Linked DNA regions of Elephas maximus indicus. The protein of the gene in region 1 interacts with the protein of each later gene in a biochemical or structural test. Links are inferred from orthologs where the notes say so. Each region holds a gene or a part of one and is shown in the gene's direction. Other genes may lie near its edges.

The links. The genes of interacting proteins can lie anywhere in the genome.
Region 2: the proteins of ERBB3 (region 1) and PTK6 form a complex in vitro, tested with the Homo sapiens proteins (2 studies listed by BioGRID and IntAct, with this or other methods). The link is inferred for Elephas maximus indicus from reciprocal best matches to the Homo sapiens genes ERBB3 and PTK6.

Annotation. Positions count from the first base shown.
Region 1 is NC_064822.1:116,043,670-116,050,770, forward strand, and holds the start of ERBB3 (receptor tyrosine-protein kinase erbB-3), read left to right. Parts: upstream 1-4,087; 5' UTR 4,088-4,451; coding exon 4,452-4,533; intron 4,534-7,101. UniProt on the Homo sapiens protein: Tyrosine-protein kinase that plays an essential role as cell surface receptor for neuregulins.
Region 2 is NC_064843.1:4,495,487-4,503,206, forward strand, and holds the start of PTK6 (protein-tyrosine kinase 6), read left to right. Parts: upstream 1-4,707; 5' UTR 4,708-4,952; intron 4,953-5,527; exon of another isoform or gene 5,528-5,970; 5' UTR 5,971-6,732; coding exon 6,733-6,953; intron 6,954-7,720. UniProt on the Homo sapiens protein: Non-receptor tyrosine-protein kinase implicated in the regulation of a variety of signaling pathways that control the differentiation and maintenance of normal epithelia, as well as tumor growth.

The DNA of each region.
Region 1 (7,101 bases):
TCAGTTTTGCTTGCTGAAAGTAAAGAGGACTTGAAGCACTTATTGATGAAGATCAAAGATCATAGCCTTCAGTATGGATTACACCTTAAATAAAGAAAACAAAAATCCTCACAACTGGACCAATAAGCAACATCATGATAAACGGAAGAAAGACTGAAGTTGTCAAGAATTTCATTTTACTTGTATCCACAATCAACACCCATGAAGCGACAGTCAAGAAATCAAAAGGTGCATTGCATTGGGCAAACCTGCTGCAAAAGACCTCTTTAAAGCATTGAAAAGCAAAGATATCACCTTGAGGACTAAAGTGCACCTGATCCAAGCCATGTTGCTTTCAATCGCCTCATATGCATGTGAAAGCTGGACAATGAATAAGGAAGACTGAAGAAGAATTGAGGCCTTTGAATTGTGGTGTTGGTGAAGAATATTGACTATACCATGGACTTCCAAAAGAAGGAACAAATCTGTCTTGGAAGAAGTACAACCAGAATGCTCCTTAGAAGCAACAATGGCGAGTCTGCGTCTTACATACTTTGGACATGTTGTCAGGAGGGATCAGTCTCAGAGAAGGACATCATGCTTGGCGAGTACAGGGTCAGCGGAAAAGGGGGAGAACCTCAGCGAGGTGGATTGACACAGTGGCTGCAACAATGAGCTCAAGCATAACAACGAGTGTGAGGATGGCTCAGGACCGGGCAGTGTTTAGTTCTGTTGTGCATAGGGTCGCTCGCTATGAGTCAGAACCGACTCGACAGCACGTTAACAACAACAGCACCCTGTCAAGGAGCCCTGGTGGCGAAGTGGTTAAGCACTCAGCTGCTAACCAAAAGGTCAGTGATTCGAACCCACAGGTGTCTCCATGGGAAAAAAGACCTGGCCATCTGCTCTGGTAGATTTCAGCCTAGGAAACCCTATAGGGCAGTTCTACTCCATCATATAGGGTTGCTATCAGTCAAAATCCACTCAATGGCACACAACAACAGCGCCCTGATAGGGGGCCTTTCCAGGGAACTATGCATTGCATGGTGGGATCCGAAGGTTTCTAGAAGTCAGCTGGAGAAAGAAACCCATCAGTCATACATCTAAAAGTCTATCCAGGAATTGACTGGCTAAGGAGATCATGGCCTGATATGGGGGGAAGACCTCATCACTTCCTGAACTGATTTGCTGACTACAGCATTTCAGACTAGGTGGCCCCCTCTACAGACTGACTTCAGCGGACCCTCCTTCAGGGAGTCTCACCAGAGACCCAATCGTAAGTCATTACTCAAGCCCAGTGATCCCAGGCTCAGCAGTTCGGTGTGAGCGAGTGAGTAGGTGGGCCTAGTTTATGTGTTATATGAGGAGCCTATTTTTATTCCAGTGGGTCAGTGCTACTCAGCTCCCCACTGTGAAAAGTATGTAAATCACTCACCATTTCTACCCTCCCCATTCAGATTGCATCCTTACCTCAATAAGAATTCCCATTTTTGCTCCATCTAGACCTCTCTTCCAACTCTCCTCCCGTTTTATCACCCTTGGGTCTTTACATGGTGGAGGAACATGTGCACTTGAGCTTCACTGGAAAAGTAAAAGACATGGTCAATTCTGACAAGCCTCCTACACTGAGGCAATAATATTGCCTGACAGTCCATATGCAATTAGCTGGGTTTATTGTTGTTATTTTTAAATCTAGGATCAATCAGGGATCATTCATTGCATTTGGTTCTGTGTTTTTGATCTTCTTTGACGTGAAATGATTCTCTTGACTTTTTTTTTTTATGACATTGGCACGTTTAAAGAGTCCAGCCCAATTGTTCAGTAGAATGTAGGACAAGGAACTCTGTTTGGCCTTTTGTTTCTGGTTTTCAAAAATAGCCTGAGCAATTAAGGTACTCTTTGTCTTTCTAAAACAGCCCAGCCACATTTAAACAAGTGTAAAGTAGGGGACTACCCAGGCCCCAACCTGGCAAGAGACCTGAGGAAGAGAGGGGCGTGACGCACTCATTGACTGAACTGATAAAAATGATGCACTGAGGCCTCAATAATGCATATTCCAATTTGATACATGCACATTCATTGAGGTCCCAGTGACTAAAAAAAAAAAAAAAAAAGTGACTAGGGGACTCTAAACCTTGGAACTCTCTTTGGGGATTCCAGAATTGGTGAGAACATCCACGCAGGGGAGAGGGTGCTGCATGTCCTTGGGGACAATGGAAGCCTCATGCTGGGACCTCTCTCAGACCCTGCCTAATGTGTCTCTATGTTTGCATTCCTTCAGGTTATGATAAAGTATATGTAAGTACAAGTCATAGTCTCTGTGGATTTTGTGAGCCTTTATAGAGAATTACAGAACCCACAGGGGCCATGAGCCAGCAGGGGCTGCAGTACAGAGCTGATTTGTGTAGGCCGGGCTCTGAGCGGCTGAGTCCGACAGACCATGAAGAAGCATAGAGTCCTTCCAGCGTGTCTGACCTAATCCCAGGACACTAGGGTAAGAGAGAGAGAGAGAGAGAAAGAGCGAGAAAGACCAGTCTGAAGTGTGTTAAAACAAAAATCATATTATTAAGCCAACAATAGGAACTGATTGAAATTTACTGAATATATGATTTGCAAATTAGGGTAACATTTCAACTAAGAGTGTCCGAAATATTCCAAAAATGAGAAGAATTTCCAGCCAGGGCCCTGAAACCTAGGTTGAGGTGGTGAGCGATAGAAGGTCCTCTAATCTGGGGGAGAGTAAGTAGGGATGGAAATTCCTAAGTGATGTTAGCTCAGTTATCTGATGGGAGTTTGAATCTCAGTATTGCATAAGAAATCCTAGTCAAAAACCTGAGTCCCTCGTCCTGATTCTTCTAGATAAATCACGAGTTTCTAGAACTTCCGTTTTCCATTCTGTGAAAAAAGGGAACAAATGTCACCTAGTTTGTATAGTTTTTCTGTTAAGTGAAACATTCATTAAGGTACTGAGTTTGAGGAAATGTTTTACAAATTAAGTGGTATATGTTTGTATATGTCAAAGGCTTGTGCTGTCGCAATTACAGTACCACCGTCACGTGAGTGGTCTGGGCGAGGCCAGCGCCCTAGAAGTGGACAGAGAAAGTCTGAGAAGTTTTAGCCCGTTGTCTTGGCCTGGGGTGAGGGGCGACATTTTTCTTCATCAAGATACAATTGTTCTTGATTATTCAAGCCTGAAGCTTTGGGGAAAATAAAATCGACTCTCCGTTTAAGACCCGGAATGCCAATCTCTGGGACTGAAATCTACGCCGTGTGGGGCTGGTGGGCACCAGGGGGCGCCAGTTGGGTGCGTCGAGGGGCCTGGCCCAGCCTTGGGCAGCCACCCTCGGTGCACCCGACCGCCTCTGGTCTGGATCCGGGAGTTGGTGCGAGAGGTGCCAGGGATCCATGCCATTCACGGACGCAGTCTCTATTGCCCCTTCCTTCTTTCCAGTGCGAGCCCGGGCTTGGGAGGCGCCGGAGGGTGTGAGCGCCTGTGGCGAGGTGTGCCCATATGGGTCCCCAGCCGACCGGCGAGAGCTACGGCCGCCCCGTCGGCGAGGTCACAGACTCCAGTGTGGAAGGGGCGCCAGCTGTTCTCCCAGGCGGCCGTGGGGGGCAGCAGAGGGGACGGCGACAGGTGCGGGAGCCCCTCCCAGGGTGGAACTGGAAAGCGGGCTCTGGGGTCTGTTCCCAGGCTGGAAACCACCCCCGCCCCCCAACCAAATCCCCGGGAGAGGCCGAGCCGGCGCCGGGTCTGGAGAAGGAAGCGGCCGGAGACAGTGCAATTTCACGCGGCCTCTGGGCTCGGGTTCCTGGGCAGGGGGGATGAGTTGTGGGGTTTTGAGCCGGGGGAAACTGAGGTGGCCTAAGCGTGAAGCAAACAACACCCTCCCCCTCAAAAACACACAGAGAGAAATATTCACTCCAGAGAGAAAATCCTCAAGTGATCCAACCGGCTAGGGGAGATGAGTGATTTGGTTAGTGGGCGAGGCCAGCTTTCAGGGGGCCGGGCTTTGGCGCTCTCTCCCCGCCCCCATTACCTTTCCGGGGATTTGGGGGGCTTCTGGAATCTTGACCTCCGCCTTCGTAGCCCAGCTCCGGAAGGAAAGTTAGAGTGAGACCCCTTCTTCGTCTGCTTGGCGAAGAAGAGGGAGTCCCGGAGTTGCCGAGGTGTGGGGCGCGCTCGGGGCGGGCAATCAGTCGGAGACTCCAGCAAACTCCTCCAGCCCGGCTCGAAAGGGGGCGCGGCCGTGACTCACCCCCTCCCCTGCGCGCCCTCCCTCCCTCCTCTCACAGACACACACCCCTCCTCTGCCACCCGCCAGGACTCCGGCTCCGGCTCGGGTGGTAATTTGCTGCCGCCGCCGCCACTATCACTTCGCTGGCGGGTCAGGTGGCTCCTGCCTCGATGTCCTAGTCCAGGGGCCCCCGGGCCGGACTTGGCTGGGCTCCCCTCACCCTCCGCTGGAGTCATGAGGGCGAACGGGGCTCTGCAGGTGCTGGGCTTCCTTCTCAGCCTGGCCCGGGGCTCCGAGGTGGGCAGCTCGCAGGCAGGTAAGCGGCGGGGAAGCACTGGCCAACTCGGAACCGGGATCCGAACCGTGCGCGGAGCCACTGAGGGTGTGAGGCGCCGAGTCTCGCACAGTGCGAGGCTGAGGCTTCTGACCCCGACTCCGCGGGTATCACCTGGGAGGGGACGGTCAGGTTTGGTGGCTTGGGTTCTCGGCGTGGTCCGGTCAGGGACCGGCTTCCTGGGCCCCCTTCTCCCTAGCGCGCCAACGACCCTCTAATTCGTTCCCCTGATGGTACTGACGGCGAAACAGTAGTTCACACTTCTGAGGGACCCTCAGGGAGAGGAGCCGGAACCTCCATTCCGTAAGAGTAAGGAGATGATTGGAGGTAGAGATCTTCGGGGGGGAGGGGGAGTCTCTACCCCCCAGTTTCAGCAACCTCCAGTTTCGTTGTTTTGCCGACAGGGCGGAGCTACGGGAGGATTGGGGGTGGGGAGGGGAGGTGATGGTGGTTGTTGTTCTCTGGTGTTGGAAAACAGGAGCTGCACCTCCTCTTCCGTGAGTGGCCTGCCCCGGGGAGGTCTGAGATTAACCAGAGGGCCAAGTCCAGGTGACAGCAGGGTGAGAGGCCCAGCCCACCCTGGCTGCCCGCTTTCCCTCCAAATAATAAAGCTGGCTGGTCCCCTACGAGGCCAACTTCTTTTTGGCAAGACCCAGTTCAATTCAACTAGTATTTATCGAGCATCTACCATATACTAGACCCTAGGCCAGGAACTTTGTAGGGACAAGGGCTTCCAGCCTCTATTTCTCCGTTTGTCTTTTCTCTCCCCAACTTGAGGCCAAGAATGCCCTACTTCCACCTTCTGAGGCTTCTGCCCTGGAGAGCCCTTCCCAGGCCCAGCTCCTCACCCAGTTTCGTTTATTTGACTCCAGGAGAAAAGAGTCCCAGACTGCTCATCTCTATTCCTTCCCCCCAGTGCCACCTAATCTCTTTTTGGGGGTGTCTCTGGGACCGCAGACACCTGAGGGGTGCCAGAACTGGAGGAGTCCTGTTGATCTCCTCTCCTGTTCCCAGATACCAGCTTGCAGTGTGTGGCACAGCCAGGGCCCCTTCCCCAGGGTGGGAGTGGGAAAACACCTGTGCTTCCCCCACAGTTGCTGGGCCTAAATTTAGACCCTGGGATCTTGAGATATGAACACTCCCAGCTGGTGGGGGGGGGGGGTCTGGGGATTGGAGTGGGAGGGAGGAGCGAAGTGACTATCACTGGTCCATCCAGACCCCTGGAATTTTCAAGCAGTAACCCAGGAGTCCCAGATTCTGGCCCCTTCCCTGGGGGAGGCAGGAGGCAAGCATGGTTGGGTCTCTTTACCCTTTATCTGGGTTCTGCAGCCTCTGGGCATCCGGCCCTGTCTCAGTTCTATAGCCCCTTTGTCCCAGCTATGATGGCTGTGATGGGGGTGGGGGATGTTAGAGGGGAGGCCCTTGGTTGAGGAGGGGCTTGAGGTTCTTGTTCTGCCCCACACCCAGTTCACTCTACCAAAGGAGAGCTTGTGACACTGACCCTTCCTATCACCCTGGCCCTGTGGGACAGTTAGGGATTTTTGTAAAATTCCTCTCTCCCTGTCCCCCTCCTCAAGCTGTCTGGCTTCTCCCCAGAGATGTTGTTCGTCCCTCTCCCTGCCCAGGCCCTTTGCTCCCTGTTTGTGTAATATGGACTTTACCCTCAGGGTGGCAGGGAACTGGAGATGGAACTCTAACAACTAGCCTTCCAAGCATAGACACAGAGTCTGCACACACACATATGCGCACTTGGCGGTGGATGGGACACCTGAAATACTTCCCAATAAGAAAACCCAAGGGCAGAACTCATATAGATTGAAGGGGAGCTATAAACATGTTTGTATGTGTGGGCCTACATGTGCGTGCGTGCACACATACACACACCACTTCCGTATGCAGAGATCTTGGCTCCTCCCTTATCTGGGGACAAGGATTGGCGCCTTGACTTGGAAGAGGGGGTGTCTTGCCAGGAAGGGGGTTGGGGTGGGGCTGAAATGACTAACCTTCCTAGTCTCTTTTCAGCCCAAGGACCCTGAAGTACCCAGGCTCCTTTGGGAGTTCCTGGCCTGTTTACCCTTCTTCTGAGCCTACATCTACCCCCCCCCCCCACTGCTCCCCTAACCTCTCCCCCCCCCCAGGAGTGATAGATAAGGGGAGCCCCTCCAAGGTCAGTAGGTCAGAATTGGGTAGATCTAAGAGGAGGGGCTGGGGCTTCACCATTTTCCCTCCATTCCCACTCCTGCCTCCCACTAAGCTGACACTGCCTCAGGGAAGGGTGGTTGGAACAGGTGGTATCTACATACGAGCACATGCGCTCAAACACACACACAACAGAGTCTTGCACCGAGCCAGGTGAAAGAGACAGGAGCAAGGTTTCAAGGTCCACCATTTCCTGGAGCCCCTATATCCTTCATACTTACAAGTTAAAGGGAACCCCGAGACTGACATGCCTCCCGTACCTCTATTCTAGACTCTCCCCTAGTGTGGGTGAGGATTGCCATGTTGAGAAGGCCTTTTCATGAACCCCTTTGTCAGTGAAATTGGGTGGGT
Region 2 (7,720 bases), on another chromosome or scaffold:
GGGTGCTCACTGGGGGTTGGACCCGGGCAGGACATCACTTAGAGAAGACAGGACACAGAGCGGGACACTGGGGACCGAGCCACTTGGCCAGCCAGCACGATGACTGCTGTGCCTGCCACTTGCAGCTGGTACTTCAGCAGGATCAGCAGGACTGAGGCCCAGCAGCGGCTTCTTTCGCCTGCCAAAGCACCTGGAACCTTCCTCATCCAGCCCAGCGAGAGCAGCTGCGGGGATTACTCCCTGTCAGGTACTCCGGGTGGCCCGTCCCTCTGGTGAGCCCTGAGCCCAAGCCAGCTGAAAAGCCCTTCACCTGCAGACATGTGCCTACCAAGGGCTGGACTGGGGGCGTGCTGGTCACTTCACGTGATTGCTGGTTCACTTACTCATTAATTCATTCTCCTGGTCATTTATTCACGTATTAACTCATTCTTTCACTTACCCCTTCATTCACTCATCCCTTTATTTATTCATTTGTTCATTTATTCACTTGTTAGTCAGTTCACTTACTCAGTCCCTCACTCATTCATTATCCAGTTGTTTGCTTATCCATTCATTCACTTAGTCATCTATTCGCTACTCACACGTTCATTTAACAAGTGTCTCTTGTGCACCCACTCTGAGCCCAGCTCAGTGCATGCTGTCCCCGGACTGCCGGTCCCCTCTCACCACTCCCTGGTCTGCAGCTGCCCAAGTGGCTGGGGCTGTAAGGCTGGATCTGAGCCAGGTCCCTCGGGGGGGCAATGGACCTCATCTGTCAGAGGTGGTGGAGGTCTGAGGCAGGCAGGACACAGCCAAGACGTGGTCTCCATCTCTCACAGCTCCAGTCCAGGCCCAGGCCAGGGTCTGCCACTACCGCATCTCCTCGGTGGCCGAGGGCAGCCCCTACCTACAGAAGGTCCGGCTCTTCCCCAGCATGGAGGAGCTGCTTGCCTACTGCAAGACCAACTGGAAGCTAGTCCAGAATCCACTGCTGCAGCCCTGCGTGTCCCAGGTGTACCCACCTGCCCAGCAACCAGGCCCCCACTGCCCCCCTCCCACTGCTCTCCATAATCGATGGGGGGGCTCAATGGGCAGGCAGATTCCTGGGCACAGTTTCCCTCAATATACTTCCCAGAGTGGGGGCCACTCCCTCCCAAGCCTCTTATCTCCATTGCCGAAAGACCCTGAGGGATGTGAAGCCCAGTTGGGGGGGTGGAGGAGGGTGCTGGGAGGGCAGAGCCGAGTCTGTGCCACGGAAGGAAGCTGTGGGAGGGAGACGGTGATCACTGATCCGGAGCCTCAGTATCTCCCGGATCACCCAGGCATGCTGTCCTGGTTCCTCTAGTCCAGCCAGCACAGCAATGAGTGTTCGTGGACGGATGTCCGGCTTGGGCAAAGGGGCCACTTACGTCCCTGAGACACTGGGTCAGGCCCTCCTGAGGTCAGCAACCTGTGTCCCCTTGATCCCAGTTGGAGGCAGGAGCACTTTGAGGCGTGAGGTGAGGGGCTCCCAGGACTTAACAGGAAGACAGGGCCCTGTCTGCAGCCCCTACCCCCACCCCCACCCTGAGACCCTTCTTAGTCCGGACCCCCTCTCCTGGAGAGCACGGGCAGAGATACTGAGCCTCCAAACTTGCAGAAGCCCCCGGGGTGGGACGAGTGGGAGCAGCCGTGCGCCAAGTTCGCCCTGTGGAAGAAGCTGGGTGAAGGCTACTGAGGGATGGTGTGGGAAGACCTGTGGCTGGGCTCCGTGCTAGTGGTGATCAAGGTCATCAAATCAGGTGGGTGGGCTTGCGAGGCCCTCTTATCCCTTGAGTCCCCTGAGGCAGGGGCGGGGGGCAGGTTGTGGCCACCGAGCCTCATTGGTGCCTGTCCCCGCAGCCAACATGAAGCTCACGGACCTCGCCAAGGAGATCCAGACCCTCAAGAGCCTCAAGAACGAGCGGGTCATCCAGCTGCATGAGGTGTGCTCCACGGGGCGGCCTGTGTACATCGTTACCGAGCTCATATGCAAGGGCAACCTGCAGGCCTACCTGGGCAGTGAGTGGCTCTGCTGCCCTGCACTGACCACTCCCCGCACCCTCTCACCTCTCACCGCTGACCCTGTCCTGCCTGCCCTGCCCCTCTGCCCCACCCTGAGGCTACAGGCCCCAGCTCCCGGGCCTCGCCCCTGCCCGCCTACCAGCCCCAGGTTCCAGCTCTGCCCCAACCCCACTCCCGCAACAAGGCTCCGTCCCATCCCTGCAAAGCAAGGAGCCCAGGTCCAGCTCCCTGTTTCCGCCCTACCTCCCCCCTCACCTCGACCCTGGTACTGTCCAGGCCCCCAGCTCTGCCAGGACTTCCCCCTTCCTCACACAGCCCTGCTTCCAGGCCCCAGCCCACTTTGTTCCACAGCTGCCTCTCATGTGGACAATGGCACCTGATCCCTTCTAGGTGGGAGGTCCAAAGGACTGTGATTCGGGCTGCAGATACCTGGCCCTACTTGGCCTCAGGCCAACAGAAGGTCACGTTCTGGGGTCTGAGCTGAGCTTTATGGAGAGGTGGGGGGACAGGCCCATCTGGACACTGGCCTCTGTGCAGTGTGGCCTAGGGAACTTATCCATTCTGGGCTTTCTTGTCTTTTGGAGTCTCCAAGGCCAGGCCAGGTGGCTGAGGGCTAGGACGTGCCAGGCACCCCTGCATACCAAGACCCTGCACACCAAGCCCTGGCCCAGTGCTCCATGCCAGGTCTCACTTGCCCACCTAGGCCTTTGTGGTCGCTGCCTTCACCACACTTCCAGGTGAGGACAGGAGACAGAGAGCCAAGTGAGGCCTCCCTTCCCCCCTGCAGGTCCTGAGGGCCAGGCCCTGAGCCTGGCCCACCTTCTGAGCTTTGCCTGCCAGGTGGCCGAGGGCATGGGCTACCTGGAGGAGCGGCACATGGTGCACTGAGACCTGGCAGCCGGGAATGTGCTAGTGGGCGATGACCTTGCCTGCAAGGTGGCTGACTTTGGCCTGGCCTGGCTTCTCAAGGTCAGTGCAGCCTTGGGCTCAGGGTGGCCAGTGGGTGGGGGAGTCCTGCCCCACCTACCCCACCGTGCTCTCCTCTCTTCCCAGAACATCTACGCACCAAGCAGTGGCACCAAGATCCCTGTCAAGTGGACGGCACCCGAGGCTGCCAACTACCATGTCTACTCCCAGAAGTCAGACGTCTCTTCCTTTGGTGTTCTGCTCTTCGAGGTCTTCACCCATGGCCAATGTCCCTACAAAGGTTCAAGGGTGTCCAGGGAGGAGGTGCACCCTGCCAGGGGATCCAGTCAGAGAGAGGAGGCACATCCTGCCCTGGGGACTCATCTGTAGGAGGAGGCACTTCCTCGGGGGATCTAGTCTGAGGGAGGAGGTGCACCTTGACCCAGATGCTTATCTGAGGGAGGAGGCATGGCTCTGCCTGGGGAGTCAACTCAAGGGAGGAAGCACGACTCTCCCTGGCAGTCAGAGGGCCTGGCCAGGGGCAGATTGGTGATCAAGAGGCTTACAAGCCACATGTCCACTATGATCCTGGGCCTGCTCATTGGTCCCCTCCCCAGGAATGACCAACCATGAGACGTTGCAGCAGATCTCCAGAGGGCACTGGCTGCCTCGCCCAGCCACCTGCCCTGTGGAGGTGTATGCACTCATGTTGGAGTGCTGAAAGGGCAACCCCGAGGAGGGGCCAGCCTTTGCTGAGCTGCAGGAGAAGCTGGGTACTGGCTGCAGACGCCCCCACCAGGCCCTTACATGACCCGGCACGGGGCACCACCACTGGGGCCCCATCTCTCCCTTCCGGTGGCCACTCAGGATGTTTGTTGAAACATGTGCAGAGATGTCCGCAGCTGGGAACCCCACTGGCCTGCACGCCCATGGAGCCTCTGGTGTGGGCCTTATGAGCTGACACCCACGCACGTGCAAACACCTGGACAGCTGGTGAGTGTCATTTCGTCAGCATGACCTGCTTCCCTGGTGTCTCAGGGAGACGAACTCAGCCAGAAGGGCCTGGTGGAGTCTGCGTCTGCCCAGGCCCAGGGAGGCACTGGGCAGGGAGTCCTGGGATGCAGGGGCCCTTACTTTGCCCTCGATGTGAACCTCACTGGGCACACACTGTACACACACAGGAGAGAGCACTGTCACAGTTGGCTGTGTGTGAACCTGTGCACACATGAGCCAACACCCAATAAATATTTATTGTCCGACTCAAACAAGCGTAGACGCACACAGCAGCCCTTGGCCTCCCTTGAACCTAGGGCTGGGGTCACTGATGGTGGCTCTCTTGGGTGGGGTGAGCATCGGAGGGGGAGAGCCGGCCCCACGTGGCCTTGCTGCTCCCAGGGCATCATGGCGTTCAGCATGGTGGGTGCAGAACTGTGCCAGGCAGAGTGGCACCTGGGGGCGTCAGCACACCTGGTGGAGGCTGTGGGAGAGTCAGGGGTCTTAGATGACCCCTGCCTTCCAAAAGGCTCATGTGGCTGTGGGAACTGCCCTCTCCATCTCCAGGGCGGCAGCAGAGAGGACAGGCAGGATATCAGGGTAGCCCAAGCTGGGGGCAGTCAGGGAGAGGTGGGGGGCTGCAGGCAGAGGCAGTACCAGTAGAGGGGACCCCAGCAGCCTGGCTGTGGCTCAGGGGCTGGGGGAGGGGCCAGAGGAGGCCAGGCCAGGGGGCGGGACCAGAGGGCTTGGCCTTTGGGGCTTGAGGATGCTGTCCTCTGAGGCCACACCTCTGCTTCTGCCTTGCCCAGCAGCAGGTCCGCTGGGTGGGTTCTGGGGGGCTTCCCCAACATGGGGCAGCAGCAGTGGGGGATGGGACTCCTATGGACCAGAGTCTCAGATACTGTGAGAGTCTTAGCCTGCTTTCCGGAGGCAGCGTGAGTGAGTCAGCACAGTTGGGAGGCGAGGGACACCAAGCCGGAACCTGGGTCACCTCGTGTTCCTGAGCATGTCAGCCTCTACAAGCTGAACAGGTTTGGTGTTCATAGGCCTTGGGGAGGGGCTGGGACTTTTGACTCCTGAAACTTGCTTGCTTCCTGGTCTGGCTGAGACACACACGTCCCAGCTCTGAATGTCAGAATGAAGACAGCCATGTGCCTCTTTTCCCCTTCTTTAAAAGTGAAGGTTCACATGAGCAGTTTCCTGTGGGGTGGTCTCTGGGTCCTTACTTACAGACTTGGAAACCTGCTCCGGCCCTTCTCACCTTTTCTGCACTTCCTGCCCCCCTGTGGCTGTCCCCAGGAGGGGTGGGAGCTCCCTGGGGTGGACGTTGCAGGGTTAACAGGGAGGTGGGGGGCTCTGGGGAGAGTCTTGGCCCATGCAGGACATGTGTTGTGGTGGGGGTGGGGCAGAAAGAGACCCAGGTGGAGGGGTTTCACCCCAGCTGCTGGGCGAAAGGAAGCAGGGCTTGCTTGGGAGTGGAGGGGGTAGGGGTGAGCGGGAGGGGGGGAACAGAGGACATGGAGGACCAGACCTTGATTCTGCTGGGCTGGGCAGAGAGGGAGGTGGGAAGAATGGGCGGGGAGGGGTCTCACCCAGGAGGTGGAAGCTGTAGGCACATGCAGGCTGGGCCCTAAGATGGGGCTCCTTTCGGGTGTGTTCTCCGTCTTGGTTGCCCCTCATGTCCTGTCCAAGAGAGTAGTGCCCTCTTCTTTGGCCAAGAGCCTGTGCTCCCAGGACACACACTGCGCCGGCTCTCCTGCTCCGGCTTTCCAGGGGCCCAGAGTCTCCCAGTCACATCTTCAAGGAAGCGTTCCGGGCCAGCCCACACCTGTCTGCCCTACCAACTTCGTGCATGTCTTGTCTGCCAGCTGCCTGGCTTCGGCCTGCCCAGCCTGCTCTAGGCAAGCAGGTGCTCAGGTAGCAGGTGGGGCAGCCCTCCAGGGAACCTGTGCAGTGCTGGCACCCCTACCCGTAGACGAGAGCCCAGGCTCAGGCCAACCCTGCACCCATTGCCCCTCTGCTTCTCTTGGGCCCCTTCCACCCTTCCAGGTTCTTCCTATTATCCTACCACAGCCTCACCTGCTTCCTCGGCTCAGCTTGTCACAGGCACAGGGGAAGAGGCAGCCAAGGGCAGTCCAGGCAGTGCCTCATGGTGGGGGACCACCAGAGCAGCGACAGCCCACCCCAGCTCCTCAGAGTGTGTGGAGCGCTCCATGGTGAGAGAGGCAGCTGGGAGTGGAGGTGAACCCTTTAGGGAGAGTGGCACCAGCTGCTCTTGGCCTCTCGTGCCTTTGTCTCCTCACTGAGATGGGGGAGGAAGTGCCTGTGGCCCCTATCCACTTTCTCCACCCCTCTCTTCCTCCACCTCAGGCTGTCACTCACATCAGAGTGTCAGCTGCTAACTGCAGCCACCTGCAGCAGGTCCCTCTGCAGTGCCACCCCTTACCCCTGCCCCTGGCTCAGGTCTGTCTGCAATGGGCCCCCTCAGGTCCAGCTGAGTGGCTGAGGGCACTTCAGTGGCCACTCTGAAGGGCATGTTTCCTGTGAAGAGATGCCCAGAGAGATGATGGTGGGTAGTGCAGGCCTGGCTGCCTGCGGGCACAAGGACAGGTGGGGGCTCAGGTGGCCTCAGGGAGGCCCCCTGGGAGCCAGGGCGTGGCCAGCCTGGCTGCCTAGTCAGGAGGAAGTGGGAGGGCCTGTGGCTGGGTGGATGACCTGTCAGGGAGCGTCACCTGCCCGCCTGCCCTGGTGCCCACAGGCACAGCGGCACTTCAGCCAGGCCAGGCAGCCCGACCTGCCGCTGTGTCCACCATGGTGTCCCGGGGCCCATTGTGCCTGTACGTGGGGCTCTGGGACTTCGAGGCCCGCACGGCTGAGGAGCTGAGCTTCCGGGCAGGAGACCTCTTCCACGTGGCCCGGAAGGAGGAGGAATGGTGGTGGGCCACTCGGCTGGACTCAGCAGACAGGGGCCTGGCCCAGGGCTACGTGCCCCACAACTACTTGGCGGAGAAGGAGACGGTGGAGTCAGAGCCGTGAGTCTCCTCCTGGCCCCCACTTGACACGGACGCTGCCTCAGGGCTGCTCAAGGGTTGGGGCAGGGCTGAGCCTGGACAGGCCCGTGCTATGCACCTGTGGCTGGGCTGGGGCAGGGGTTCTGGGAGGTCTGAGTAGAAGGCCCAGCTTGCGTTTGCCTGGGATGGACCTGCAGCCGCTGCCCTGGCTCCTAGGTCAAGGCTGGACAGATGGCTTTGCTTCTACTTCTGGGCACCGCCCCCCCCGCCCTGGGAGGGCCTGGCTATGTGGCTTGATTCATCACATCTGGGGGTGGGGGAGGCTGCGGAGGGTGTGGGGCTCTTCTTGGGTTTACCCCACGCTACTTGGGGTTGGGGTGCCGTGCTGCCAGGACCTAGATGGGCCCGGGGGTATGAGGGGGCTCTGGAAGCTGGCCCAGGGCATGAGTCTTTGTGCAAGTCCTGAGGTGGGGGGCAGGACTTTTCTAAGCAACAGAAACCAGCCACATGACCTAGTTAGAGGCGGCAGGAGGCCGTTTTGACATGCCTGGCCATGGAGTAGGGTGTGGAGGTGGCAGGTGCACAGCGGCTGTGGACATTCGCTCCCTGCCCCCTCCCAGCCACCTCCTGTCACTGGCCAGCTAGCCCGCAAGGCAACGGCCTGGTGGTCAGCTGGAGGCTCTCAGAGCTGAGGGACAGCCTGGAGTGGGAGTGTACCGTTGCCTGTGTGTGCTCACGGCAACCTAAGGTTCTTGCCCCACTGCCTGGCTGCCAAGATTTCCTGGGCA